Linked DNA regions of Callithrix jacchus. The protein of the gene in region 3 binds, or shares a complex with, the protein of the main gene of each other region. Links are inferred from orthologs where the notes say so. Each region holds a gene or a part of one and is shown on either strand. Other genes may lie near its edges.

What was found.
Region 1: NUP153 (region 3) and NUP98 share a complex: the UniProt entries of both Homo sapiens proteins name them as parts of the nuclear pore complex. The link is inferred for Callithrix jacchus from reciprocal best matches to the Homo sapiens genes NUP153 and NUP98.
Region 2: NUP153 (region 3) and CETN3 share a complex: the UniProt entries of both Homo sapiens proteins name them as parts of the nuclear pore complex. The link is inferred for Callithrix jacchus from reciprocal best matches to the Homo sapiens genes NUP153 and CETN3.
Region 4: NUP153 (region 3) and RANBP2 share a complex: the UniProt entries of both Homo sapiens proteins name them as parts of the nuclear pore complex. The link is inferred for Callithrix jacchus from reciprocal best matches to the Homo sapiens genes NUP153 and RANBP2.
Region 5: NUP153 (region 3) and NUP85 share a complex: the UniProt entries of both Homo sapiens proteins name them as parts of the nuclear pore complex. The link is inferred for Callithrix jacchus from reciprocal best matches to the Homo sapiens genes NUP153 and NUP85.
Region 6: NUP153 (region 3) and NUP214 share a complex: the UniProt entries of both Homo sapiens proteins name them as parts of the nuclear pore complex. The link is inferred for Callithrix jacchus from reciprocal best matches to the Homo sapiens genes NUP153 and NUP214.
Region 7: NUP153 (region 3) and NUP160 share a complex: the UniProt entries of both Homo sapiens proteins name them as parts of the nuclear pore complex. The link is inferred for Callithrix jacchus from reciprocal best matches to the Homo sapiens genes NUP153 and NUP160.

Annotation. Positions count from the first base shown.
Region 1 is NC_133511.1:69,136,430-69,139,929, forward strand, and holds part of NUP98 (nuclear pore complex protein Nup98-Nup96), read right to left. Parts: intron 2,336-3,500; coding exon 2,106-2,335; intron 964-2,105; coding exon 697-963; intron 1-696. UniProt on the Homo sapiens protein: Plays a role in the nuclear pore complex (NPC) assembly and/or maintenance. NUP98 and NUP96 are involved in the bidirectional transport across the NPC. May anchor NUP153 and TPR to the NPC.
Region 2 is NC_133503.1:120,374,677-120,378,971, forward strand, and holds the start of CETN3 (centrin-3), read left to right. Parts: upstream 1-1,495; 5' UTR 1,496-1,591; coding exon 1,592-1,608; intron 1,609-3,440; coding exon 3,441-3,576; intron 3,577-4,295. UniProt on the Homo sapiens protein: Plays a fundamental role in microtubule-organizing center structure and function. As a component of the TREX-2 complex, involved in the export of mRNAs to the cytoplasm through the nuclear pores.
Region 3 is NC_133505.1:13,137,983-13,142,143, reverse strand, and holds the end of NUP153 (nuclear pore complex protein Nup153), read right to left. Parts: intron 2,111-4,161; coding exon 1,945-2,110; intron 1,639-1,944; coding exon 1,554-1,638; 3' UTR 501-1,553; downstream 1-500. UniProt on the Homo sapiens protein: Component of the nuclear pore complex (NPC), a complex required for the trafficking across the nuclear envelope. Functions as a scaffolding element in the nuclear phase of the NPC essential for normal nucleocytoplasmic transport of proteins and mRNAs.
Region 4 is NC_133515.1:20,391,147-20,395,288, reverse strand, and holds the start of RANBP2 (E3 SUMO-protein ligase RanBP2), read left to right. Parts: upstream 1-1,342; 5' UTR 1,343-1,431; coding exon 1,432-1,503; intron 1,504-4,142. UniProt on the Homo sapiens protein: E3 SUMO-protein ligase which facilitates SUMO1 and SUMO2 conjugation by UBE2I. Involved in transport factor (Ran-GTP, karyopherin)-mediated protein import via the F-G repeat-containing domain which acts as a docking site for substrates.
Region 5 is NC_133506.1:131,157,853-131,161,352, forward strand, and holds part of NUP85 (nuclear pore complex protein Nup85), read left to right. Parts: intron 1-76; coding exon 77-160; intron 161-288; coding exon 289-354; intron 355-541; coding exon 542-693; intron 694-1,509; coding exon 1,510-1,627; intron 1,628-1,716; coding exon 1,717-1,817; intron 1,818-2,928; coding exon 2,929-3,080; intron 3,081-3,371; coding exon 3,372-3,473; intron 3,474-3,500. UniProt on the Homo sapiens protein: Essential component of the nuclear pore complex (NPC) that seems to be required for NPC assembly and maintenance. As part of the NPC Nup107-160 subcomplex plays a role in RNA export and in tethering NUP96/Nup98 and NUP153 to the nucleus.
Region 6 is NC_133502.1:179,780,767-179,784,266, reverse strand, and holds part of NUP214 (nuclear pore complex protein Nup214), read right to left. Parts: intron 3,409-3,500; coding exon 3,257-3,408; intron 2,299-3,256; coding exon 2,100-2,298; intron 720-2,099; coding exon 649-719; intron 1-648. UniProt on the Homo sapiens protein: Part of the nuclear pore complex. Has a critical role in nucleocytoplasmic transport.
Region 7 is NC_133511.1:112,898,790-112,902,289, reverse strand, and holds part of NUP160 (nuclear pore complex protein Nup160), read left to right. Parts: intron 1-2,432; coding exon 2,433-2,643; intron 2,644-2,956; coding exon 2,957-3,179; intron 3,180-3,500. UniProt on the Homo sapiens protein: Functions as a component of the nuclear pore complex (NPC). Involved in poly(A)+ RNA transport.

The DNA.
Region 1 (3,500 bases), on a different chromosome or scaffold from region 3:
CATGTATATGTCACACTGTGCACAAATTTGTATATAATACAGAGTAAAGAGCTAAGTACAAATTGCACATTAAAATGCTTGCAGTGGGTAGTAGTCACAGGATTTGGGTGATTTTGACTTATACCTTATTTATGTTTTCTAGTTTTATTACAAATGTAATATAACATAAAATTTAAATTTTAATAAACAATGTTTAAGGTCTTAAAAAGAGAATCAGAAGACGTAGTTTGGCTGGGTGCGTTGGTTCGTGCCTGTAATTCCTGCACTTTGGGAGGCAGAGGCAGATGAACCACCTGAGGTCAGGAGTTTGAGACCAGCCTGACCAACATGGTGAAATCCCGTCTCTACTAAAATACAAAAATTAGCCAGGCATGGTAGCGGGCGCCTGTAATCTCAGCTACTCAGGGGGCTGAGGCAGGAGAATTGCTTGAACCCGGGAGAACGAGGCTGCAGTGGGCCAAGATCATAGCACTGCATTCCGGCCTGGGCAACAAGAGCAAAACTCTGTCTCCAAAAAAAAAAAAAAAAGTAATGGTTCCTACTCTACAGGAACCAGCAATCTTCCTGGGAAGTCCACAATTAACACTCACAGGCTAGAAGCCGAAGAGAAATCCACAATTAGGGAGGAGGGATAGAAGGCATTCATTCAGTAGGAAGGGGAAAGGGGTGCAGAGAAAGACCATATTCTTTCCCTACCTGACTGCTGGGCCAGAGAGCAGGCTTCACTGATCCTTTTGCCTGTGAGGTAGCTGAATACAGCCTCCACAGGGCTGTTTTTTTGGGTTAAGGAGACTTCCTCTTCAATTTGCGGTGTGGCAGTATGGGATAGCCAGCGGGAGAAAGCTCTTCGCCGCTCTAGAATTTGAATGTATTTATTGGGTTCATCTAGCTGGCTGTCAAGCTCCTTCAGGTGGCCCCATAATGCTTCACATAATGTCCATGTCAGGCTCCAGTGCTTCACAACTAAGGCAGGAACAGAAAAACTGTTATGAGACAAAGTCTTACAACAGCTTCACAGAAGGCATCTTTCTAATTGTGATGTTAAAAATACATAAATTAACAGACATCTCAAACAACCACTCAAGTCAATTACCCTCAATCTGTCTCTACCTCACTCAGCTTTGTCTTACAATTTCCTGAAGTACATGGTATTCATAAATGCCTGCTCACACATGTATGTGGTACTTATATAACAAATGTAACTGTTTTTCTTTTTAATTTAAAGATGGGGTTTCACCATGATGGCCAGGCTGGTCTTGAACTCCTGACCTCAGGTGATCCACCCACCTCAGCCTTCCAAAGTGCTAGGATTACAGGTGTGAGCCACCGTGCCTGGCCAACAAATGTAACTGTTAAACAGGTTCCCCAAGCCTAATTATGACTAATGTCATCTCAGATGATATCTAATTTGATAAAATTCTGTCTACAAAATTCAATCTAAAAAAGTACTTTATCATTTAAGCCACTTACAAGTATGTATTGGTAAAATAACTTACACATTTGAAAAGATGATGAGATGGTTAAGTAAATACAAAGAACTGAATGAACATAAATCCCAAAATGTGTGGCATAAGACATTCTAAAACAACCCATTTTTCAATAAAGGTGATTTGCTAAACACTGTTTGAAATACTAACAAATTAGAAAATCCCTTTATCAAAGTATTAATTCAGAAAAACATGGTCACAATAGAGAAAGGTAACAGAGAAGCAAGGAAGAAGAATTACAACAAAGTTGTTGAGAAGATCAATAGTACTTGAGCTGGACATGGAAGAATGGATAGGATTTAGAAAAGCAAGAAGGAATGCATCTCTCTCCCTATGTTTTCTGGGTTGGGTAAGAAATGCAATTTTATAAATCCAAAGATTTGACTGGCTACAATTTTTTGTTGAAGAATTTGTACATTAACGGGTACAAGAACAAAGTGACAAGAACATAGTGACAATTTTTTCTTGCTTGGGAATCTGCTTAAACTCAACCTCAGAAAATGACAAGCACAGGCATTCACCTACTAGATTGGTGTCAGGAAATTCACCCCCCCGGTGAACATCCAGTAACACCCCATGACTGAGACATCAAAGATTAGAAACATAGTTCATACTCACTTTGTGCTTCGGGTAAGTCTCCTGATGCTTCTTTAACCCAATCTGCATAGTCATGAATGACAGCAACTCCCGGATTGGGGACAATGAGAGGACACAGTTCATCCACATGGACAGTGCTGTGTTTTAATTTGAGCTCCAGAGGTGTCTGGTATAATTTCATGTCTTCATCTGGCTTCCTTTGTCGCAAACTGAGTTTTTCTAAGTGAACTTTGAATGGGGACTCAGTTAGGCTACAAGAGCAAATGAGGAACAGAATAGAAAAGGAACATAAAACAGAAGCTAGGATTTCACTTCAACCAAACCAGTCTCCTTTTATGATTACAAACAGAATGCAAAACATTCCACTGTGCTTTGAAAGAAATTTTGCTTCTTAAACTATACCAAATTTATCTGCTATATACTGGAAATAAAAATTATCTGACCAATGCATTCAGAACACAAAAGTTTCTTAGGCCAGGTTATAACAAGCAAGAGAATCAGGTTATAACAGAATGAGAACTGGCTAAAACTCAAGTGCCACAAGTTATTGTGGGATGTCTGTTTCGCAAATTATACTTGGATATCAAAACTCACGAGGCTAAGCTTACAGATACTAAGGAACTGACTCTAAATTACAATGAGCAGCTAAGCTGGCCTTGATCCAAAAATTTTTTTTTTTGAGATGGAGTCTACTCTGTCGCCCAGGCTGGAATGCAGTGGCATGGTCTCAGCTCACTGCTACCTCTGCCTCCTGGGTTCAAGTGATTCTCCTGCCTCAGCCTCCCAAGTAGCTGGGATTACAGGCATGCACCACCATGCCCGGCTAATTTTTGTAATTTTAGCAGAAATGGGGTTTCACCATGTTGGCGAGGCTGGTCTCAAACTCCTGACCTCAAGTGATCCGCCTGCCTTGGGCTTCCAAAGTGCTGGGATTACAGGCATGAGTCACCGCACCTGGCCCCTTGATCCAATTTTTAAGATTGATATTAATAACCTTCAAAATTCACAAGGTAATACTTAACCTAGAATTAATAGCTAAATTTAGTATCACTATTCTTAGTTGTGAGGTTCAAGAGACATTGTTTTTCATTTTTTCAAAGTCATTTTAAAAAGGAAGGATAGGCTGGGCAGGGTGGCTCACTCCTATAATCCCAGCAAGTTAGGAGGCCAAGGCTGGAGAATCACTTGAGCTCAAGACAACATGGTGAAAAGCCCATCCCTACAAAAAATTGGCCAAGCATGGTGTGTACCTGTAGTCCCAGCTACTTAGGGGGCTGAGATAGGAAGACCACTCAAGCCCAGGAGGTGGAGGCCTGTGCCACTGTATACCAGTCTGGATGACAAAGTGAGACAGGGCTTAAAAATATGTAATTGGCCAGGCGTGGTGGCTCACGCCTATAATCCCAGCACTTTGGG
Region 2 (4,295 bases), on a different chromosome or scaffold from region 3:
CAATTTGAACAATTTCCTTTCAAACATTGTTCTCAAACTTTATCTTTACTAATTTCCTCTTTCTAATTTCAATTATACAATTTTCTTCTTCATTTCTAACATCTTCAGATAAATGCTTGGTTTATTTTTATCCTTTCTTCTTTAAAATAATGTTCTCCTATAGCTTGGTCTGTATCTTAGAATGTTAACATATAGTTTTTTTCAATATCATTAGGTTCTAGTAACTGTAATTTCTCTTTCCTTTTAGAACTCAAAGGCGATTTATAAAAGTACCTTAAAATTTACAGTATGAACAAAATAAAAGTTCCACTTTGATTTTTAGGGGTGCTAAACCTTAACTAATTTTTAGCTTGTTCTATCATACTATCCTTACTTATGCAAATTTAGCTCATCTTTCTAGGTCTAATATTTATGCCACCTCCTTTAAGAAGCCTATCTTGTATTCTCTCTCTTCTCTAAACCATTATATACATCCCTTAAACATGTAATGTTTATACTATCCTCTGCCTTCAACTCCCATCCTCAGGCTATTTTATTCACGTTTATGAGATCTGCTGTTTAGCTAAGTATTTTGCGGGTTTTCAAAAGATTCCACTCAATTTACAGAGCACCTATGCACCATTTTACTAGGTACAAAGAAAAGCCTTAAACAGATAATAATCATGGCCTTCAAGAAATTGAACCTAGTAAGAGAGATGAATAAGAAGACATTCAAGTGAGCTTCAAGAGACTTGGTTTGGTAGTAAAGACAGTCTCATGTGTATAAACAGCTTACAGCACTGTAAAATAAGAGAGAGAAACGAATAAATCCGTTTTAAACAGTTCAAAGGAGGAAACCGAAAGGGAAGGGTGGTTTAGATACTGCCTCACCATAAATAGCCTAATAATCTAACCCTGTGATAATCCAAGTATAGTCACAGTACCTGCCTCAGAATCACCTGGAAGGCTTGTGAGGGGTAAAAACGAAGATTCATACCTACTGAAATTAGAATGGGGAAAGGGGCATTTAAATCTGCATTTTAAACACTTTCCCCAGGTACTGAGGTCATCCAAAGTTTTAGAACAGAGCAGAGCCAAGTTTCGCAGATCTTGTTCCTCAGCTACTCCCTCCTAGCCGGAGGGTGGCCTGCAGCGTGTCCCTTCCCTTCCCTCCGTCGGAGCTGTGTGTCCAGTTTCCGAACGTCGGCCCCACAGACCTCAGGGCTTCAAGCAAGACACGACTAGCACCCACCCACCGCGGGCACATCCAGCAGGGATCAGAGGCCGGACCCGCAAAGGATTCGGGGAAAAAGGCATCGAGCCAATCCGAAGGGCGAGAGCAGCCCGAGAAATGGGTGGGTGAAGGACAGAAACATTTTTCTCTGATTGACGTAAAACGTACCCAATGAAAACAGAGAATTGTGAAGCTTCCGCCCGAATAGGCAGAACCGTGGAGATTTTTCAACCAATCCAGCTCAAAAGTGTCTATGTTGTGGGAGGTCCCTTAGGCCGCTAAGGTCGTTCGTGTCTGTTGAACGGCTGTGAAAGTCTTGCTGTCTTGGGTAGGGGGTTAAAATCGTTCTTGAGAGGAACGTCTCTGTCCGAAGAGATAATGAGTTTAGCTCTGAGGTCGGTAATAAGGAGGCGGCAGTGTTCTCCACACCCCGGAGCGGGACGCAGGGAGGGTGTGGAAGGGAGGCCGTTTGGGGCCGAGGCGAAGTAGGGGATGCAGTTTCGGGACGCGGGAAAGGAGCCTAGGGTAGCTTACCCGGACCAGTCACCCTCTGGGCCCTGGTGCCTTGCAGGGATCGAGTCCAGTGCGTTTCTACTGAGGAAGTTATTTCTGTCAGCGCGTAGGGCTTTGGACTGCCAAAAAGATGGGCTTAGTTGCGAGCGCGGAGGGAATGAAATATCGCGAGGCTTTTACTCGTTTCTGTGAGATACCAGGCCGCGGAACATCCCTTCATTCAATTCGTGTAGCTGGCCAGGGCCCCGCCTCGGCTGCTTCGCTGCTAATGCAAATCACCCACCTATAAATTTTGGCAATAACACAAAACTCCTTCTTCCTCATTTCTCAGGGCGTTGCCTTATGGTGTAGTTGGAGACCCATTTTAGTGAATTTAATTGGCAAACTGTCACTTGGATTTCCTCAGCTTCTTGCATTTCTTTGCCTTTCAGTTCTAACCTCTAACCCTCTGTATGTTGCCCTCTCACCCTTTGTAGAAGTTGTACCGTAAAACTATATACTTAGGACAATAAAAATGTTCCATGTTCTGCTAAGGGATAATCGTACCCTTGAATGGGGTCAGGGGGTGGGTCGGTTCTGGACTTGGCCTCTAGAAGTCTCAGGAAGGAAAAGACTGACCCCAGGAATACCCAAATTTGTGTCAAGTCAGGTTTCATGAAAGGAAGCTTCATCAGCTTTGTCATACTGCACCTACTGGTCACTTCCTGGCCTTTTTTTTTTTTTTTTTCCTAGCTTTCAGAGACCAAAATGACTTTCAAATGCAGCTAGATACGTGTTTTAAATAGAGTCAACTGGTTTTTACATGATAATGTGTTATCGAATTATAGGTTTCAAACTTGTTCTTATACCAGTGTTGCATCCCCCTGTGAAAATTTGGAGCATGTTTAGATGGGCAACTCTTAAAGGAAAATATTTCTGGCTTTAAAAAAATTACTTTTTTTCTTTAAGGCTTTCCAGAGTTTGTTTATGAGAAGTTTAACCTCCAGTTTACATGTTAAGTGAGACAAGACTCTTCACATTTTTATATAGAATGAAGCACAAATATTGTATTTTTTTGGCATCTAATATTTGTCATGTTTAGACTCATTAATATTTTGAATGATTTGTTAATATTGATGGAGGAAATGACAAATTGCCAAACTGTTAGAAAGGTGTAATCTAAAAACATTTTTAACCAACAATGCTAAAATACTAAGTTAATTCGGTTGTATGTTTTTGTAGTACTTTTACGAACTTAATTATAAGAGCTATCAAAAGTAAACCGACATATAGTGACTGTCAACTATGAATTTTGGTTTCGTTTGGAGTTATTTTTCTTTAACAGTCTTAGAATAATGTGAGTATTTTGTTTTTTGGTTAGAGTTGGTTGGAGTTTCAGATATAAAAGCAATGTTACTTATTCACAGTTCTTGTTTTTTCCACAGTAACATTAGTGGGAATAAATAAAAAGCTGGGAAAAGGAAAAGTATGGTCCTCATTTATTTTACTAATCTTTAACAATCTTTAGTTTTGGGAAGTTCAGATTTATAGCAATTTAGATTATGGAGTAAACAGGGCATTGACTCATAAAGGGAAAGTTTCCCTATCTTTCTCCAAAGTACTTTCTTTTTTAAAATTTAGAAAATAATTATTGGCTAATTTCTGTTAGCAAAGAGAATTAAAGTAGACTTTAATTCTCCTTTAATTTAAGGATTTTTTTCTTTCCATTTCATAGAAGCGAGCTTGTAGTAGATAAAACAAAGAGGAAAAAAAGACGAGAATTGTCTGAGGAACAGAAACAAGAAATTAAAGATGCTTTTGAACTATTTGATACAGACAAAGATGAAGCAATAGATTACCATGAATTAAAGGTAATGGTATACTTTAAAATATTTGTTTTTATGTTAAAATGATTTGCATTTTGACAGTTGCTTTACATTGCATTTCTAAATAATTATTTTGACTAAACTGGTTTGGAACTATGAAGGCATTTTAAGCATTCCTAGTTAGTTGCTATAATAAAACTGAACAGAACCCCTAACAGTTTTTAGAAAGTCTTTTTCACATGATAAAATGAATAGTATTTTAAATGTAAAAATATATTCCTAGGGAAGGTGCTTATTTTTCACTGACATAATTAAAGGATTTCAAACTGGAATTTAAACTATTCTTACCATATTCTTTTCACTGTTTTGTTTTTGTTTTTGTTTTGTTTCTTGGTGACTCACTGTATTCAGATTGAGGGAGTGTTGTCTCTTAATCTTAAAAATTGGATTTGTTAGTAACATAGTCTCAATCCACTTTCTCTGGTGCAAATTTAAGTGCTGTTTGATGTTGACACATGCTGATGGGTAAAATGTCAACTTTAATACCTAAAATGTCAAGATGTGGGGAGAGATTTGTAAATTATATTTGTCGAGGTATAGGGAGAGATTTGGGTTTAGGGTAGAATGGGACTTTTAGCACAGTGGGAAAGATAGCATTTTCAGATTTTTAATAGCCTTAATGGATAGGTGAATATAAGTATGTGTTTTAATTTTTCTAATTTTGCAAGGGATTTTTAAGCATAAGAATTCCAAGTAGGGGGTAG
Region 3 (4,161 bases):
ATTGCTTGAACCCGGGAGGCGGAGGTTGCAGTGAACTAAGATCACACCACTGCACCACAGCCTGGGCTATAGGGAGAGACTCCATCTTGGAAAAGAAAGAAACTTCAACCAACCAGAAGTTCAGCAAATTAAAACTGAGCACAAAATAACTACATTCAAACTGAAAAATAAAATTACCAAATACTGTTCCAAGAATTCTTTTGTGAACCACAGGAAAACAATCCAGTTAAAAAAAACAATAAAATAATACTTACACTATCCAGTAACTTACCAAGGAAGATACAAGCACAAAGTGAAATGGATGTGTGTTTACTTTCAACTGTTTTTTAAAGGTATGTAAATTGATGTGCAAATTACTTTCCCCTTCTCTTAGGAGTTTTCTGAATCATGTCAATGTACTTTTTGGCATTTATCTTCTAATGAGCCACTGTTAACCTTTTAATAGTCCTGTCCCAATAAGACTGTGTACCTTCATTATGAGGTAATACTAGAACAAAAAGTATGTCATAATTTTTTATTGATGGCATTTATCCCATGGTTTAACATGTTAATTATACTGTAATAAACATGGCTTTAATATTAAACTTTTCCTTATTATCCAAAGTCACCACAGTCCATTTTAGTAAATATAAAAATATATGCTTAATACTTTGTACAATACTGGTTTTTGGTCCAAACAAAACTGGATCAGAAAAGCCAATAAATTCAACTTTAAGAATCTCCAATTTTTTTTAAAGATTTCCAAATGGATTTAGGCAACTTTGAATAATGGGACTTATATAATAAAATCTGAGACAAGACTAAACAAACAACAAAAAAATCTCTAACACAAAATTCAAATTTCAAGTTCACAGATTTATGTTATGCCAAAAAAGTACAGAAACAAAATTGTATTTACACAAGTTTCATAATAAAATAATGAAAAAGGCAAGACAGGTGATAGAAGAATGAAAATATAGAAATAGCATGTAATTATTAAATGGAGAATGAACTAGATCTAACAAGTCCTTAGCACGGACCATTCTTTAATCAGGCTTCCTCTATCAGAAAAGTTTAGTGCACAATACACCCAACTCACTCACTTCACACATACACCAGCACAAACTCAGCATAGAAATCATCCATTTCAACATTCTCTAATCTATACAGAATTCTAATCTATACAGAATTCCTCAGATATAATTACAATTTCAACGCGTTCCGTAAACGCTTATCAGCGCACATAATGGTGTAGACAAAGAGGTTCTATACAAAGCCATTTGCCGTGCAGGCTCCATTCCTGGGAACAGCCAGACTATGTCAAATCAGTGAATAATCTGCTGGATCATAAAATATTTTTGCTGCAGAATCAGTCACCAGTCTAGCTATTATTTTTAAAAAGAGGGTAGATGAAGCAGGGTGGGGCTTCTGTAAAGAAAGGGAAAGGAGGAAAAATCCAAAATTAAAGAAGTCCTTAGGCAGATCTGACTTCAGATAACCCTAGCGCAAAGTCCAACTCAGTATCTGAAAGCAGGCACGAGCTGTTAAAATTGCGTATAACACCAATGTGACCTTTATTTTCTGCGTCTAACAGCAGTCTTTATCTTGCGGCCAGGGACTGCAGTTCCAGAAGATGAGAACACATTTTTCCCATTTGACCTGTAAAAAATAAAAGCTTCATAATGTGGTATGATGCTCGGAGCAAAATTTCCGAATCCTAACATTTACCATGAGCAGCAGCAACTGTTATATACATTTTCTGCTATACCTAACACACGCATTACTGTTTCTTTTCTCAAACTATAATATAATCCTCCAGAATTGCAGTATGGTCAATTTATGTTGGAGAACATATTTAATTTTACCCAAACCATACTGGATCTTGGTAACTTTTGAAAACAAAATATATACATGTACATACCCTAACCAATGTAAATTCTCCATTTCAATAAAAAATTCTCTTACCCCACTGTAAATGCTGGAGACGGGTTAAACGGAAAGCCCCCCGAGCCTGAAGGCTGGGCTGAGGCTGCAGGTGTGCTAGAATTTGCACCAAATGTGAACACTCCTGATGGATTGTTGTTTGTGAAGTTGAAATTTGTAGTGCTGCTGCCGAACTGGAAAACCGAACCTATAAGAATTGAAGCAGAAATACTTCACTAGGGCAAAATGATACGTTTTGAAATTAATGACTCTGACCTCTACATATAAACACATGCAGACAATTAAGATATTTTGGTCTCTTAATCCAAAGAAAACTAAAATATTTTCTCCACTAACACACAGTACATACTTGACACCTCCAACAAATCACACAACTTACCTATGACCAAGGGGAAAAGGGCAGCCTGGACTTCTGGTTAAAGATAGTGAAATCAATAAAGACATTTAGCTCTATCTTCTTTGAACAGTGCATTAAAACAACAAGGGATTTTTACAAAGATAGAGAGAGAGGTGACCACAGCAACAAAGGTTTAGAAGCTGGAAGGCTGATAGAGTTGATACGGAACTAGCAGCAGGTAAAGAACAGAAGCAATTGCATTTATACCAAACATACCCAAAACGTTTAGGTTCCAAATACCTCTGGAAGTGAGAATTAAGGCAGGAATTAAAAAAGAGAGAGAGGGGCCGGGCGCGGTGGCTCAAGCCTGTAATCCCAGCACTTTGGGAGGCCGAGGCGGGTGGATCACGAGGTCAACAGATCGAGACCATCCTGGTCAACATGGTGAAACCCCGTCTCTACTAAAAAAATTACAAAAAATTAGCCGGGCACGGTGGTGCGTGCCTGTAATCCCAGCTACTCAGGAGGCTGAGGCAGGAGAATTGCCTGAACCCAGGAGGCGGAGGTTGCGGTGAGCCGAGATTGCGCCATTGCACTCCAGCCTGGGTAACAAGAGCGAAACTCCGTCTCAAAAAAAAAAAGAGAGAGAGAGACAGAGAAAGGAAGGATAGCAGATATCCAGGACCAATCCCTCCCCTCCCAACACCAAGATAGTAATTCTCAGTGGGGTGCAGTGGTTCATGCCTGTAATAGCACTTTGGGAGACCAAGGCAGGTGAACTGTTTGAGCCCAGGAGTTTGAGACCAGCTTGGGCAACATGGAGAGACCTCATCTCTATAAAAAAATTATTTAAATTAGCTGGGTATAATGGTGTGCACCTGTAATCCCAGCCACTCAAGAGGCTGAGGTGGGAAGATCTCAAGCCCAGGGGGTCGAGAATGCAGTGAGCCCGGATTGTGCCACTGCTCTCCTGCCTGGTCAACAGAGTGAGACCCCATCTCAAAAGGAGAAAAAAAAAAGAAGACAGTAATTCTCCTCTTTCACCTCACCAGAACAGAAGTCTTTGTACAAGTGTCTGGACTGGGGAATACCACATATAGTTAACAGTAAGAATATCATTTTGAAAATGGGAATTAAGAGTAGGTTCAATATTCATTAAATACTAAGGGCTCCAGCCATCTTCCAAATCTTAACTTCCAGAACACTGGCAAATGGAAGTTCCCTGATGCCCTCCAAGCAGGAGACTGGATGCATCTTCTCTGGGGAATCTGACAGACTAAGTGGAAAGAAAGAAGGATACTAACATCCTTTCATCTAGTGAAATAGAGAAACCAGATAAATCTACAATGAAATTTGAGATCTGCAAGCCCTATCAACACAGAAAGGATTTAAGTGGTATTTAAGTGTCCTACACTCATAAAAACGTTAACTAGGTAGCCAAGGAGTACCAGACATTTGAGGACAGTATTTAATAAGAAACACTGAGACAAAAATAATAAAAGTAATTTTAGGAAAACTGACTCAGCAAGGAAACAAAACATCAAGGAAAAAAATCCAAACTCGGTGTCTTTAATGAATACTTCATCCACTGGGGGACTGGGTGGGGGAACACAGAGCATAAAAAAGAAACATCCAGAAAATAAAAAAGAGTACTTGGAAATTAAAGTCACAATAGTGGAAGTTAAAATCTCAACAGAACAGGTAATGAAAGATAAATCTCAGAAAGTACAACAAAAAGATAAAAGGTGAGAAAGAAAGGAATGATAAAGGGCAAAATCTTCAATAAATAATGCTGGAAAATTCCCCAAAATGTTCACAAAAGAGCATGCTGCACTCCTTACACGAAGGATAAAAATGGATACACATCAAGACGTCCTGATGTAACAGAACACTGGAGGCAA
Region 4 (4,142 bases), on a different chromosome or scaffold from region 3:
GAAATATATATAGATCTGGTGGACTATTCCTTTTTTTTTTTTTTTGAGACAAGGGTCAAACTCTGGTGCCCATGATGGAATGCAGTGGCGCTATCATAGTTAATTGTAAACTGGAACTCTTGGCCTCGAGCCTCCCAAAGTGCTGGGGCTACAGGTTTGAGCCACTGTGCCGGGCAAATGGCTATTACTATAGACACAGTTGATCCTTAAATAACATGGTTTGAACTGCCTGGGTCCACTTATAAGCCGACTTAAAATACAGTATTCGAGAGGCCCGCGTTTAGAGAGTACCCTCTCTAAGAGTTCTGCAGGACCGAGTGCGGGATTTGAGAATGCGCGGATTTTTGTTTTGTTTTTAGATGAAGTTTTACTCTCGCCCAGGCTGGAGTGCAGTGGCGCAATCTCAGCTCACTGCAACTTCCGCCTCCCACGTTCAGGCGATTCTCCTGCCTCAGCCTCCGGTGTAGCTGGGATTACAGGCGCCCGCCACTACACCCAGGTAATTTTTTGTATTTTTTATTTTTTGAGACAGAGTTTCGTTCTTATTGCCCAGGCCGGAGTGCAATGGTGTGATCTCGGCTCACTGCAACCTCTGCCTTTCGGGTTCAAGCCATTCTCCTGCCTCAGCCTCCCGAATAACGGGATTGCAGGCGCCCGCCAAATTTTTTTTATTTTTTATTTTTAGTAGAGACGGTGTTTCGCCATATTGGCTAGGCTGGTCGCGAACTCCCGACCTCAGGTGATCCGCCCGCCTAGGCCTCCCAAAGTGCTGGGCTTACAGGCTTGAGCCACAGCGCCCGGAAGAATGCGTGGATTTTGGTATAAGCAGGTGGTTCCGGAACCAATCCTCTGCCGACGGATGTGTTTAAAAAACTGTAATTGTTCAAAATTTAGTATTTGTGGTCTACTTTTTCATATATGCACTTTAAAATTTATTATTTCTTTTAAAAGGTATTAATTTAAAAATGTATGCTTCGTATTCACACACATGTCCAACGCAACGTATTTAACCAGTCATCTCCAGAAACGTTGTTCCACTTTACAAGCTCACAAAATCGGCCGCAGTGCTTTTTTCTTCCAATGCATAGAGCATTTATAATTTAAAACAAGCAACCAAAAGGCTTAAGAGCTCAGCACGCAAACTTTTATCTGTTGGAAACCTACTACCTTAGCGTGATGGACGCTGGCGCCGGCTACCCAAGACCAGGCTCCGCGACCAGGAAGTTGCCAGGAGCTCCGCTATGTGCGGCGCGAGCGCCGACGTCGCCAACGTGGCGCACAGTGCTGACGCATACGCAAGTGCGTTAGACTGGTCCTCCGCCGGCGACGGCACTGCGTCACTGGCTTGAAGGCGCTTTGCTCTTGGAACTGGCGACCGTTGCGGGGTTGAGTGTTTGACTCCCGCGCCTCGGAAGCCAGCTTGGCGGCGCGATGAGGCGCAGCAAGGCCGACGTGGAGCGGTACATCGCCTCGGTCCAGGGCTCTGCCCCGTCGCCTCGAGAGGTGAGTGGGTCTCGAAGAAACCTACTGTCTCGACCTGGCCCGGCTGCGGCCTCCCGCGGCTCGGGCGTCATGGCTCCTGACAAGCACTGCTCCGTGGCGCGCTCTCTTGAGGCGCTGGCCGGCCAGCGCGGCCCTGTGGGCGGCGTGGCGCTGGCGAGTGCAGAGGAGTCCTGGCTGGGCCGCGGCGGGCCGGCGCTTCCTCTTTCTTCCGGCCTGTTCCGGACGGTCCTCGCTCGTGGGCCCACCCTGGCCCTGGCTTTCTGGCCGGTCGCGCACCGCTGGGACCGGCGCGGCCTAGTTCTCTGGGGCTTGGGCACCAAAGTCTCGGATGCTGTATCCGGCGGGGTTCTTTCCATCTCCCGGACATTTACTTTACATGCTGCGGCGGAGGTCGTACCTCCTTGGCCTGGTGGAACCCAGTGAGGACTGACGCAGCTCCGGGGTGAGCTTTGGCGACTCTGACGGGTGACATCTCAACGCAGACATTTGCCACGGCTCGACAGCGCAAATGATACGGGAAGTCCCCTTGCTTTAAGGCTGAGGTGTTTGTCGCTGTCCCTTTATAAGGGTCTAGCTCCACTCTTCATACTCACCCCTGTCCCCCGAACCCAGAACACTTCGGTAGCTGCTTTTGTGTTTTGTTTAAAAAAAAAAAAAAAATTCTAGATTTCTTGCAAATTTATGCCTTAGAATTTTTAACTTTTTCCACAGATGTTCTTAGGGTATTTTTCCTTTTTAAAGGTAAATAATATGATATCTTTTGGATTCAGTAAGACTTTAGTATTTGGATGTAAAGAGTGATGGAAGAAGCTATTTAAAGGTGAATGTGCACAGAATCTTGAGTCAGTTTGCTTTGGCTTGATGAATAACCACAGCGCTGTCTTTTGTAAGTTGGATATTTGGTACAGGTTACACTATTCATCCATAGATGGAGTTGTAACTGATAGAATTTGATAGGGTGATCCATTTTAAACATTTAGGGTTGTGTGTGCTGGACACATAGTATTAAAATGTTAGCTGCAAGTCACTATTTTTATTGTTGATGTCGAAAGGATTTAGCGGGGCGTGGTGGCTCACATCTGTAATCCCACCACTTTGGGAGGCCGAGGCAGGCAGATCACCTAAGGTTAGGAGTTCGAGACCAGCCTGGCTGACATGGTGAAACCCCGTCTCTACTAAAAATACAAAATTAGCCGGGTGTAGTGATACACGCTTGTAATCCCAGTTAGGAGGCTGAGGCAGGAGAATCTCTTGAACCCAGGAGGCGGGGGTTGCAGTAGCTGAGATCTGGCCTTTGCACTCTGGCCTGGGCGCAAGAGCGAAACTCCATCTCAAAAAGTAAATAAATAAAAGGATATTTATTCAAAGTCTCTACTGTGCAAGGGCCTAGGAGAATAAAGATCTGTAAGGAAGTTTTTTTTAAAAAAGAACGGCTTGCGGGCGGGCCCGGTGGCGTATGCTTGTAATCCCAGCACTTTGGGAGGCCTACCGGCGGATTGCCTGAGGTCAGGAGTTTGGGACCAGCCTGGCTAACATGGTGGTCCCAACTCTGTCTCGACTAAAAATAAAATTAGTCAGGCGTGGTGCACGCCTGTAGTCCGATCTACTCAGGAGGCTGAGGCAGGAGAATCGAGGCGGAGGGAGACTCCGTTAAACAAACGTAATGGAAAGCCCTGGGTGATCCTGATTATTATAGTAGCACAGTTGTGTCTTTTATAATAACTAAGCATAGATTACCTTATTTTGCACTTCAGCAACCCTGTGGAAATTGAGACCTGTAGAGATTAAAGATACTTGAACCCTGTGGATATTGAGAACTGTGGAGATTAAAGATACTTGTTCAGGGTCAAATAGGTAGCGCAGCAGAATTTTGGCATTGGGTCCTGGGAACACTGAAGTAAGTTACAGTCTATTCCTCCAGAGAAGAGGACTATCTATTCCTACTTGTACATTGTAATTTCAAACTGCTAGCATAGTCATAAATGTGGACATAGTGATAGAGTCTAAAACAGACCTTATTGAGGGTACCTGTAACTCCTGAAATTACACTTTAATTTTTACGTTATTTTTTTTTTTTTGAGATGGGATCGATCTCTTGTCATTTGCTGGATGCAGTGGTGCTATCTCGGCTTACTGCAATGTCCGCCTCCCGAACTCAAGCCATCCTTCTACCTCAGTCTCCTGAGTAGTTGGTACCACAAGTGCACCCATGACACCTGCTATTTATTTATTTTTTGCATTTTTGGTAGAAACTGGGTTTCACCATGTTGCCCAGGCTGTTCTTGAACTCCAGGGCTCACATGATTCCCCTGCTTCCACCTCCCAAAGTGTTGGGATTACAGGCGTGAGCCACTGCACAGGGCATTAATAATAATAATAATTATTATTATTTTGAGACAAGGTCTTTTTTTGTCTCCCAGGCTGGAGTGCTGTGGCGGGATCATGACTCACTGCAGGATTGACCTCCTGGGCTCTGTCCATCCTCCCACATTAGCCTCCCAGGTAGCTGAGACTACAGGCATGTCAGCTACAGGCATGTGCAACCATGCCTGGCTAACTTTTTTCTTTTTTTTTTGAGATGGAGTCTCGCTCTGTTGGCCAGGCTGGAGTGCAGTGGTGTGATCTTCGCTCGCTGCAAC
Region 5 (3,500 bases), on a different chromosome or scaffold from region 3:
TATTGCTCACCCCCACTCTTATGGGATACCACCTCTGGCCTAACTTTCCTTCTTGCCTTGGTGTCTGAATCCGCAGCATCGCCCTGAGCAACTGGTGGTTTGTGGCCCACCTGACGGACCTGCTGGACCACTGCAAACTCCTCCAGTCACACAACCTCTAGTAAGTGGCCTGGCAGCGTGGATCCTCCTCTCCTCACCACCAATGCCTAGAAGGGAGGTTGGGCTGAGGAAGGCGGCCCTGAACAGGCCAGGCCAGGAGTCTTGGTCTTTTGTTACATTTTATTTCAGTTTTGGTTCCAACATGAGAGAGTGCCTCCTGCTGGAGTACGCCTCGGGACTGTTCGCTCATCCCAGGTAGGAAGGAACCCATGGGTGTGTACTGTGCTGGGTGCTCTTCAGCATGTGGGTGTCATTGGAGCTTGGACTATTCTCTCCCAGTTGGCTCCGTAAAGGCTCTGGAAGGGTCAGTGGAGGGGAGCCTCAGGTGACAGTCCCCAGAGCCAAAGTAGCACTTCATGTTTGTCCTCCTGGACCTCTGCAGCCTGTGGCAGCTGGGAGTGGATTACTTTGATTACTGCCCTGAGCTGGGCCGAGTCTCCTTGGAGTTGCACATTGAGCGGATACCTCTGAACACCGAGCAGAAAGCCCTCAAGGTGCTGCGGATCTGTGAGCAGCGGCAGATGACTGAACAAGGTGAGCTGGCCCAACTCCCAGCCTACTGTGTGGGACACGGAAGTCAGGAGACCCTGAGGTCATACTTTGTGCCTACCCTGCCTACCCCGCGCCATCCCCCTCTTCCCCAGCCACATGGGAGAGGTGGGGCTATGGATGCCAAGAGGTAAGCTGGGAGATAGGATCATTATTTGGGAGGGACAAGAAAGGTAGGGATCCACTGGAACCCAGACAAAATCTACACGCCACCTGCAAAGGCCTGAGCTGCCTCTTCTCTCACACACTTGATTCCACGATGTCAAAGCTAGGGTTGGTAACTGTTTCCCCGTCCAGGTGGGTTGCTGTTGCTAGCTCAGCCTGACTCAGTGGGGAACAGTGCTGGAGGTGGCTTCAGAAAAGCATAGAGAGTGGAATGAGGATGACCAAGTCTGCCCCTTCCTTTCTCCCCTCACTGTTGATAAAAACATGAGTTACTACCCTACAGAGAGGCAGTTGTATGTTCGAGACCATTTCTGAAAGCATATGGTTTTCATGACCCACAGGAAGATGGGATTTGAGGTATCTAAAGAGGTAACAAAAGGGCTGACTTGTAGAGAGAAACAGAAATCGTCCTTTGCTACCCCTGAAGCCACACACTTACAGGGCCAGTCCTGCTGTGATGGGCACCAACACTATTAATCAGCCCCTGAGTTTCCAGCTCTGCTGACTCAGCTGTGTTTAGAGCCCACAGAGAGGCTTGGGGTGGAGTGAGGCTGTGAGGCCACTCCAGTCCCCACAGGGCTCAGGAATGGATTTGTGGGGTGAAAGTATTCACCTTTTCTCTTTTCCCCTGCAAAGTTCGCAGCATTTGTAAGATCTTAGCCATGAAAGCCGTCCGCAACAATCGCCTGGGTTCTGCCCTCTCTTGGAGCATCCGCGCTAAGGATGCCGCCTTTGCCACGCTTGTGTCAGACCGGTGGGTGCCACTGGTGTTAGCTTCCCAGGGACTGGGCAGGTGAGGTAGGCTTGAGACTACTGCTCTGATCTCTGGGCCGGGCCTTGCAGGTTCCTCAGGGATTACTGTGAGCGAGGCTGCTTTTCTGATTTGGATCTCATCGACAACCTGGGGCCAGCCATGATGCTCAGTGACCGACTGACATTCCTGGGTGAGTGTCTGGGTTTTGTGCCCCATGCTTTGGGTAAAAGTGGGTAGTTGGGGAGATTGGAGGGATCACACCAGACTTCTCCCAGCACTTCCTTCCTATATTCCCATTGCTTCGGTGGTCCCAGAAATGTCCTCCATCATGCCTAGGATCATGAGTTTGGCTGTAGTATCTCCTTAGTGCCTCTTTTCCCCTCCCTCCCTTCCCTTTCTTTTCTGTTCTCTTTCCTTACTTCCTTTCTTACACTGTGACCCAGGCTGCCAGGCTGGAGTACAGTGGTGTGATCTCAGCTCACTGCAACCTCCACCTCCCAACTTCAAGCAATTCTTGTGCCTCAGCCCCCCTCCTCCCCACTAGCTGGGACTACAGGCATGTGGCATCACACTTGGCTAATTTTTGTATTTTAGTAGAGATGGGGTTTCACCATGTTGGCCAGGCTGATCTCAAACTCCAGATCTCAGCTGATCTGCCCACCTCAGCCTCCCAAAGTGCTAGGATTACAGGCATGAGCCACTGCACCTGGCCTAGCCAATCCCCGCCTTTTTTTTTTTTTTTTTTTTTTGAGATGGAGTCTTGCTCTGTTGCCCAGGCTGGAGTGCAGTGACATGATCTTGGCTCACCACGACCTCTGCTTCCCAGGTTCAAGTGATTCTCCTGCCTCAGCCTCCTGAGTATCTGAGACTACAGCAAGCACATGCCACCATGCTGAGCTAATTTTTGTATTTTTAGTAGCAACGAGGTTTGACTATGTTGGCCAGGCTGGTCTCAGAACTCCTGACCTCGTAATCTGCCCGCCTTGACCTCCCAGTGTGCTGGATTACAGGTGTCAGCCATTGCGCCCAGTTGTCAGTCTCTTAACCCATGACTCGTTACGTATTTTGACACTGACGTTTCCCCAGATTTGACTCTTTGCATTTCATTCGAAGTCTGTTTTGAACACTCTTGGTCTGCATCTCATTGGCCTGTTCAGAGACAGCTCTGGAAATATCTCTTGCTTGCTGGAGTGGCTTGTCTGGGGTTTTTCAAATCGTTAGGGCCAGGGCGACTTTTGTAGGTGTCACTTGAGCGATTTGGGGGAATATGCAGGTGATCTAGCGCTCTTGTTTTGCTATAGGAAAGTATCGCGAGTTCCACCGTGTGTATGGGGAGAAGCGTTTTGCCGATGCAGCTTCACTCCTTCTGTCCTTGATGACGTCTCAGATTGCCCCTCGGTCTTTCTGGATGACTCTGCTGACAGATGCCCTGCCCCTTTTGGAACAGAAACAGGTGAAGGTTGCAGCAGCGCTGGTTTGCTTTGCTTGTCAGTCCCTGCTGGAGCTTAGTGTGTAGCTCTTGCCGACATGCATGTTTCTCCCAGTCGTTCTGCCTGCATGCATGTATTCCCCTCAGCACCCTCTGGAATTCCATACTCACATGGGAAATATCGCTTAGTTTGAAATGAGGTCTTCCTATACAAAGCGCACTCTTTCCAAAGGGCATGAAAGGAAGAACGTCTGAACATGCGAACGTGGGCCCCTGGCTGGGGAGCAGCCAAGCAAGGCAGTTTCTCTTCCCTAGGTGATTTTTTCAGCAGAACAGACGTATGAGCTGATGCAGTGTCTGGAGGACTTGACTTCAGGAAGACCAGTGCATGGAGGACCCGACACCCAGCAGTGCCAGGTCATTAACTTTTGGGTTGATGGTTCC
Region 6 (3,500 bases), on a different chromosome or scaffold from region 3:
GAAGAAGGCACAACAAAGGCCTTGGCGCCACCTGTGACTCCCTCCTTCATGTCCAGGCTCAATAGACATATGTGGGTTCCTTGCAACTCAATTGATATCGAAAGATATTTGCAAATATTATCTCAAGAACATCACAGGGAGGATGATAGAGGGCACATGCAACAACACGAGTATCCATTTTCTTTGATGCCCACAGTTAGAGAAACGAATTCTTTAAGATGGATTCAATTAAAAGACAAATACTGTGCTTTAACCCAGAGTGATTCTGCACGGTTGTCATAGCTTTTTCACTAACTCTTTGCCTTTAAGCTATGTTTTTATGGAATGGACTGAAAATATTAAGTTGGGAACAGTACAGAGTATGATCATGTTTTACATAAAAAACAAAACAAAAAATGCAGCTACACACAGATTGTTTGTATAACATCCAGAAAAGCCTGGAAGGCCACCTAGTCTATACAACATAGTGGGTGCCTCTGGAGGGAGGACTATGGGAGAGAAGGGAAGAGGTTCCACTCTTCATTCACTGATGGATTTGTTACAATGAGCATTACTTTTTAATAGGAAAAACAAGAACAATACTCCGAAACCACCCCCAAAAAAGTGGGTGACTTAAGAAAAATTCTAAAGTTCAAGATATGAACTTACAGGAAGATACTGGACCACAGTTCCATTCTGTTTTCCCACTGCCAGCTGCTTTCCTTTGGGGCTCCAGCACACTGAGCAAAGACAATGTTACCAAATAAAAACAAGAAAATGGAGCAAACCAATGAGATCTATCACACACAGCTAATTATCACTTCTCATTCCTCTGTCAGTCCATGGAAGATTGTAGGATCATCCCCACCCGACAAAATGGAAAAAAGTAAAATTATTTTAAGGATATAAGCCAACTGATTTATCACTGGGCTATTGAATTGAAAGCTAAAAATGCTTTTTCAATAAATTACTGCCCAGAAAGCTGCAAAATACAGAAAACTCTGTAGTCTTTAGATAAGACAAGGAGAACACAGAAGGTTTCCAAACATCAAGAAATCATTGGCTGGGCGTGGTTGATCACGCCTGTAATCCCAACACTTTGGGAAGTCAAGGCAGATGATCACCTGAGGTCAGAAGTTCAAGACCAGCCTGGCCAACATGGAGAAACCATGTCTTTACTAAAAAAATACAAAAATTAGCTGGGCAAGGTGGTATGCACCTGTAATCCCAGTTAAACTGGAGGCTGAGGCAGGAGAATCACGAGAATCACTTGGATCTGCGAGGTGGAGGCTGCAGTGAGCCAAGATCATGCCACTGCACTCCAGCCTGGGTGACAGAGTCAGACTCTGTCTAAAAAAAAAGAAAGAAAGAAATCATTCTCCTGCTCCTATTTGATATTCCAAATGCCTCTCCCCATGAAGGTACAAGTGACTTTTGGAGTATCACCATTATAGATCCAGAAGCAATTATTCTCAAAAACAGTTTCAAACCAGCTATACCAAAAGATTTCTCCAAAACCCAAGTATATTCAGGTTAAATTATGTATGCTGTTTGGCTTCAAGGACAGTAAGTATGGGAATAAAGAATACTCTTAGCCAGGTGCAGCAACTCACACCTGTAATGGGAGGCGGAGGAGGGCAAATCATTTGAGGTCAGGAGTTTGAGACCAGCCTGGCCAACATGGTGAAACCCTGTTTCTACAAAAAAATACAAAAAATTAGCTGGGTATGGTGGCACAGGCCTATAATCCCAGCTTTTTGGTAGCCAAGACACAAGAATTGCTTGGACCCAGGAGGTAAAGGCTGCAGTGAGCCAAGATCATGCCACTGCACTCCAGCCTGGGTGACAGAGTGAGACTGTCTCCAAAACCAAAAAAACCTCCACTCTTTTTTTTTGTTTTCTTTTTTTTAATGGTTATTTTTTCAAAGTTCCACAAAAAACCCTCCACTCTTAACCTCCTGTCATGTTTAAAAAAACAAAAAACAAAACCACACACACACACACACACACACACACACACACACACAAGACGAAAAGCTATCCACTTTTACTTCTAGAAATCAATTCTTAAGTAGACTGCCATTATTGTATGTTACAGTGTGAGAGCCTTTGTTACTCACCAGAGGTTACTGCTACTGTAGAAGGAAGTGTTGCACACACTTTCACTGTTTCTGTGACTTGCAGGACAGCAATACTACCATCAGCCAGACAAACTGCCACCATGGAGGGGACAGTGGGATTCCACTTCATATCAATCACCATGCCTCCTGCATCTTTCAAAAGCTTATGATAGGCAAATGGGCGTTTCTGCTGTTTAGCCTTTTAAAACAAATATGCAAAAGTGGAATAAGTTAACAAATTAGTAAATGCAGAGACATTTAATATTCTATGGAAATTACCGAATATACAAGTTATCTCAAATTAGTTTTTCTCCATAACCATAAAAAAAGACTTAGCTTTATATATCTATTTGCTATAGACAGTTTTAACACAACTTAGAAAATGGCAATCAATTATTCATTTTTTTGAGACAGGATCTCCATCTGTCACCCAGGCTGGAGTGCAGTGGCGCAATCCTGGCTCACTGCAACCTCTACCACCCGAGTTCAAGTGGTTCTCCTGCCTCAGCCCCTCAAAGTGCTGGGATTACAGGCGTCAGCCACCACACTCAGCCAGCAATCAGTTATCCTAACATGTTCAGGGAGACTCTCAGCAGGGGAATGCACAAATGCAAAATAACCAATAAATAGCAGACATGAGATTAAAATCTTGGCTCTGCTTAACAGTGTTAGGACCTTGGACAGTTACTTAAACTCTGAGCCTCTTTCTCTACCTATAAAATGAAGATAATAGTACCTACTACATAAGGCAGTGGTAGGCATGAACAAGGGACAAGACATATAAAGCACTTAGTACAGAGTCTGACACACTATTACTATTATCATTCTTAAACTGCTTGGAATGGAAGAACATTGCATTATGAGGCTAAAGACCCAAAGTGTAGGAATTTTTGACATTATCTATTACAAATTTGGGCAAGTCATGTAAGTCTCCTGGTAACACCTTGGGGCAGATAGTGTTATGAAAGAATTTCTTAAAGTCCCTTCTGTCTCAAAAATCTATGATTCTATAATTAAGGTGTTTTTTTTTTAAATCCCATATTTTAATCTAGAGAAAGACTTCAAGGGTTATACTATGAAGCTTCCAAGTTATAATTCAACACAGGGAAATCTGCTTAGGGTTCTCACGTTGATATCACAGTATAAAAGTAGCTTACCTCATTGGAGAATGTGCGAACATCAAAAAAAGCAATAATGGAACCATATTCACCGGACATCATGCACACAGAGAGTGTGAGGTTATCACAGCTCAAGGCCAGGTGATGGATTGGGAATTTCATAGGAACTAGCAAGCCTTGGACTTTATCAACTATGAAAACAAAAAAATACAAAGCAAAAAAACAGTATGTTCTAAGCATAAAGCCACAACCTCTAACCAGGTCAATGTGAAAAAATATATTT
Region 7 (3,500 bases), on a different chromosome or scaffold from region 3:
AATTGAGAAGGTGGAGTATTAGGATAATTGGATATTGTTTGTTCATTTATTTGCTCTTTTTTAAAGTCAAAGTTTCAGTCTGTCACCCAAGCTGGAGTACAGTAGCACAGTCATAGCTTACTGCAACCTTGAACTCCTAGCTCCCATCTCAGCTTCCCAAGTGGCTAGGATTACAGGCGGGCATCACCATGCCTGGCTAATTTTTTTTTTTTTATAGAGATAGGGTCTTTCTATGTCGCCCAGGCTCATCTCGTACTCCTGGGCTGAAGAAATCCTTCTATCTTGGCCTCCCAGGATGCTGGAATTATAGGTATGAGCCGCTGTACCTGGCCCTGATACTGAAATCATTAAGAATTATGGCAAGAGTAGTATGGGAGAGAGTGACAGTGGGCCAGCAGCCAAAATCAACTGCAATGAGCATGGGTAGCAGGTGGTATCTGATTCCATGAGCTTCAGAGCTGAGTGGTTCGGGTAGGAGAGGAGGAACAGTGACCTAGAATGCCAGTGGGGAGCAAGGACATCTGTATTTTTCCCTTGAGGCCCCACTGCAAAGGGCATGGTAGAGAAAACTCTGGGGTCACTGCCCTCACGGGAGATCCAGGATCCAAATTATACCATAAGGCAAGAAAACGAAGGAATTATTCAGAGATGAAATTGAGGATCCAGAAAATTATGCTAATGCCATGAGTTATCAGAAGCAAAGTAGCTCTGGGAAATCATCAGACATGAAAAGGTACTTACATCCTTGGGAGTAGATAAGATGTGCCTTGGAAGAAAGTGTATAGTGAGAGAAGATGATCCAGGATCCAGGTTTGAGGAAATCTAGTCTATATAGGGGTCAGGTCAAGGAGAAGGGGAAGAAATGGACAGGAATGTGGGAGGAAAACTGGGAGAGGGTAGTACCATAGGATTCATGAGAAGAGTTTGTTTTAAAAAGAAAGGCTTCTGTAGTGTGGAGGAAAAAAAAAAAGAATAAAAAATAAAAAGGAAGGCAAGATTAAGTATGTGGAATGGTGCTGAGAGATCAAGTAAGAGGGCCAGGCACTGTGGCTCACGCCTGTAATCCCAGCGCTTTGGGAGGCTTAGGCGGTTGGATCATCTGAGGTCAGGAGTTTGACACCAGCCAGGCCAACATGGTGAAACCCCGTCTCTACTAAAAATACAAAAATTAGCCAAGCATAGTGGCAAGTGCCTGTAGTCCCAGCTACTCAGGAGGCTGAGGCAAGAGAATCGCTTGAACCCTGGAAGCAGAGGTTGCAGTGAGCTGAGATCACTCCATTGCACTCCAGCCTGGGCAACAAGAGCAAAACTCCATCTCAAAAAAAAAAAGATCAAGTAAGAGAAAGACTGAAGAGTCCACTGGAATTGGTATATTGACTTTGACAAGAAGAGGGTGTGGCAGAGGCAAAAGCCAGATTTAGTAGGCTTAAGAGTAGGAGTGATGTGAGGAAATAAGAGAAAGGTTGGCCATGAAGGGGAATGGAGAGGATGGGATAACTGGATTGTGAGTGAGGGGAGGCCAGAAAACAGCTTATTTGAATGGTGATGGAAGGCCCTGGAAGCAGGAGAGGCAGATACAGGAGAAATATGCAGAGAAAGCCAGAAGTTAGCCTTTAGTTGCTGGAAGAAGCCTTCTTTTTTGGAAAGGATGCAGGTGATACGGTAGATATGGCAATGGGAAATTAAGGCACTCCCAGCAATGCTGCGTGCTATGGTTCTAGACCTACACCCGGCAGAGTTGCACCTGAAGAAGGTTACCTGCATCCCAGCACACTTCTGGTTTTGTTTAAGCACAGTATGTATTGTCATTTCTTCTTCAGGCATGTGATATACCATGAGTTATTTTCTGTCACTTTGAAGCTCTTTTTTTAAGGATTGATAGGTTTTTAAAAAAATTTTTTAAATGGCGCAATCTCAGCTCATTGCAACCTCCACCTCCTGGGTTCAGGCAATCCTCCTGCCTCAGCCTCCTGAGTAGCCGGGATTACAGGCACGCGCCACCACGCCCAGCTAATTTTTTGTATTTTTAGTAGAGACGGGGTTTCACCATGTTGACCTGGATGGTCTCGATCTCTTGACCTCGTGATCCACCCGCCGCGGCCTCCCAAAGTGCTGGGATTACGGGCTTGAGCCACCACGCCCGGCCCTGGTTTTTAAAAATTTTTAACAAAATGTTCTTTTTTTCTGGTTCTGCTTTAAACTGTGTTTTCCACTGGGCTGTGTATTCCTTAGCAAGATCTGATAAATATTAAAACTCTTTTAGCTAGGCTGGGTTTGGTGGCTCACGCCTTTAATCCCAGCACTTTGGGAGGCCAGGCAGGCGGATCATGAGATCAGACCTTCGAGACCAGCCTAGTCTGATATATTTCAGTGCAACAGTCAATGAGAAAGAAAAGCATAAAGTTTTCAAACAAATGTCTCTTTTTTAACAGGAAGACCTCTGGAGATACATTGGAGCTGGTGGAGGAGTCACTGGACGTAAATCTGTTGAATAATGCTGTTCGCCTAAAATTCCAAAATTGCAATGTCTTACCTGGAGGGGTTTATGTCTCTGAGACTCAGAATCATGTAATAATCCTGATGTTAACCAATCAAACAGTGCACAGGTTACTTTTACCACACCCTTCCCGGATGTATAGGAGTGTAAGTTGGCTAAGTACAATACCTTTTATTTCCCAAATTACTCTGGGTGTCACAGATCGAGTGCTAGAGCAATATCCTTTGGAACCGAAGGAAATTTGGATTCTTGTTATCCCTCACCAAGCATACTTTGATAGTTATCACTTAAAATCATCAGGGATACATTTTAAGTTGAGAATTAGTTTTCATTAAAAAGAATAGCTTTCTTCTTAAGCTTGACAGTTTTTTACTTTAAAAACTTCTTTAGCAATAGAGAGAAACAGCAAAATTCTGGTTATTTTGATTTAATAGATTTTTCTTTTTAATTACTCAACAGGAGTTGGTAGTTGAAAGTCAGATGCAGTCAATATTCACTGACATTGGAAAAGTTGATTTCACAGATCCTTGCAACTATCAATTAATTCCAGCAGTACCTGGAATATCTCCTAATTCTACCACCTCAACAGCCTGGCTTAGCAGTGATGGGGAGGCCCTGTTTGCTTTACCATGTGCTTCTGGGGGAATCTTTGTTCTTAAGCTACCTCCTTATGACATACCTGGTAAGAATGGGAACTGAGCATGGATTTAACTTTAAACAAGGAATGTTAACATTGAAACAGACCTTAAAAGTTCAACCTCCTCATCCAGTGCAGAGATTGCATCTCTTCTGCCCCAGAACTGGTTTGTTTGCCTGATGAGTCCCTAATGCTTTACTTTTATACAGTGGATAAGGAACTATAAAGCATTTGGAGCACGGAAAAACAAATAGACAAGTATAAGGCAGCCTATTCTAAATCCTGTAGTAAAGATGAGTTGCCTAATTGTCTGTCCTGAGATAAAGGCATTAAACATCATAATTAAATTAATTGAAACAAAGAAGT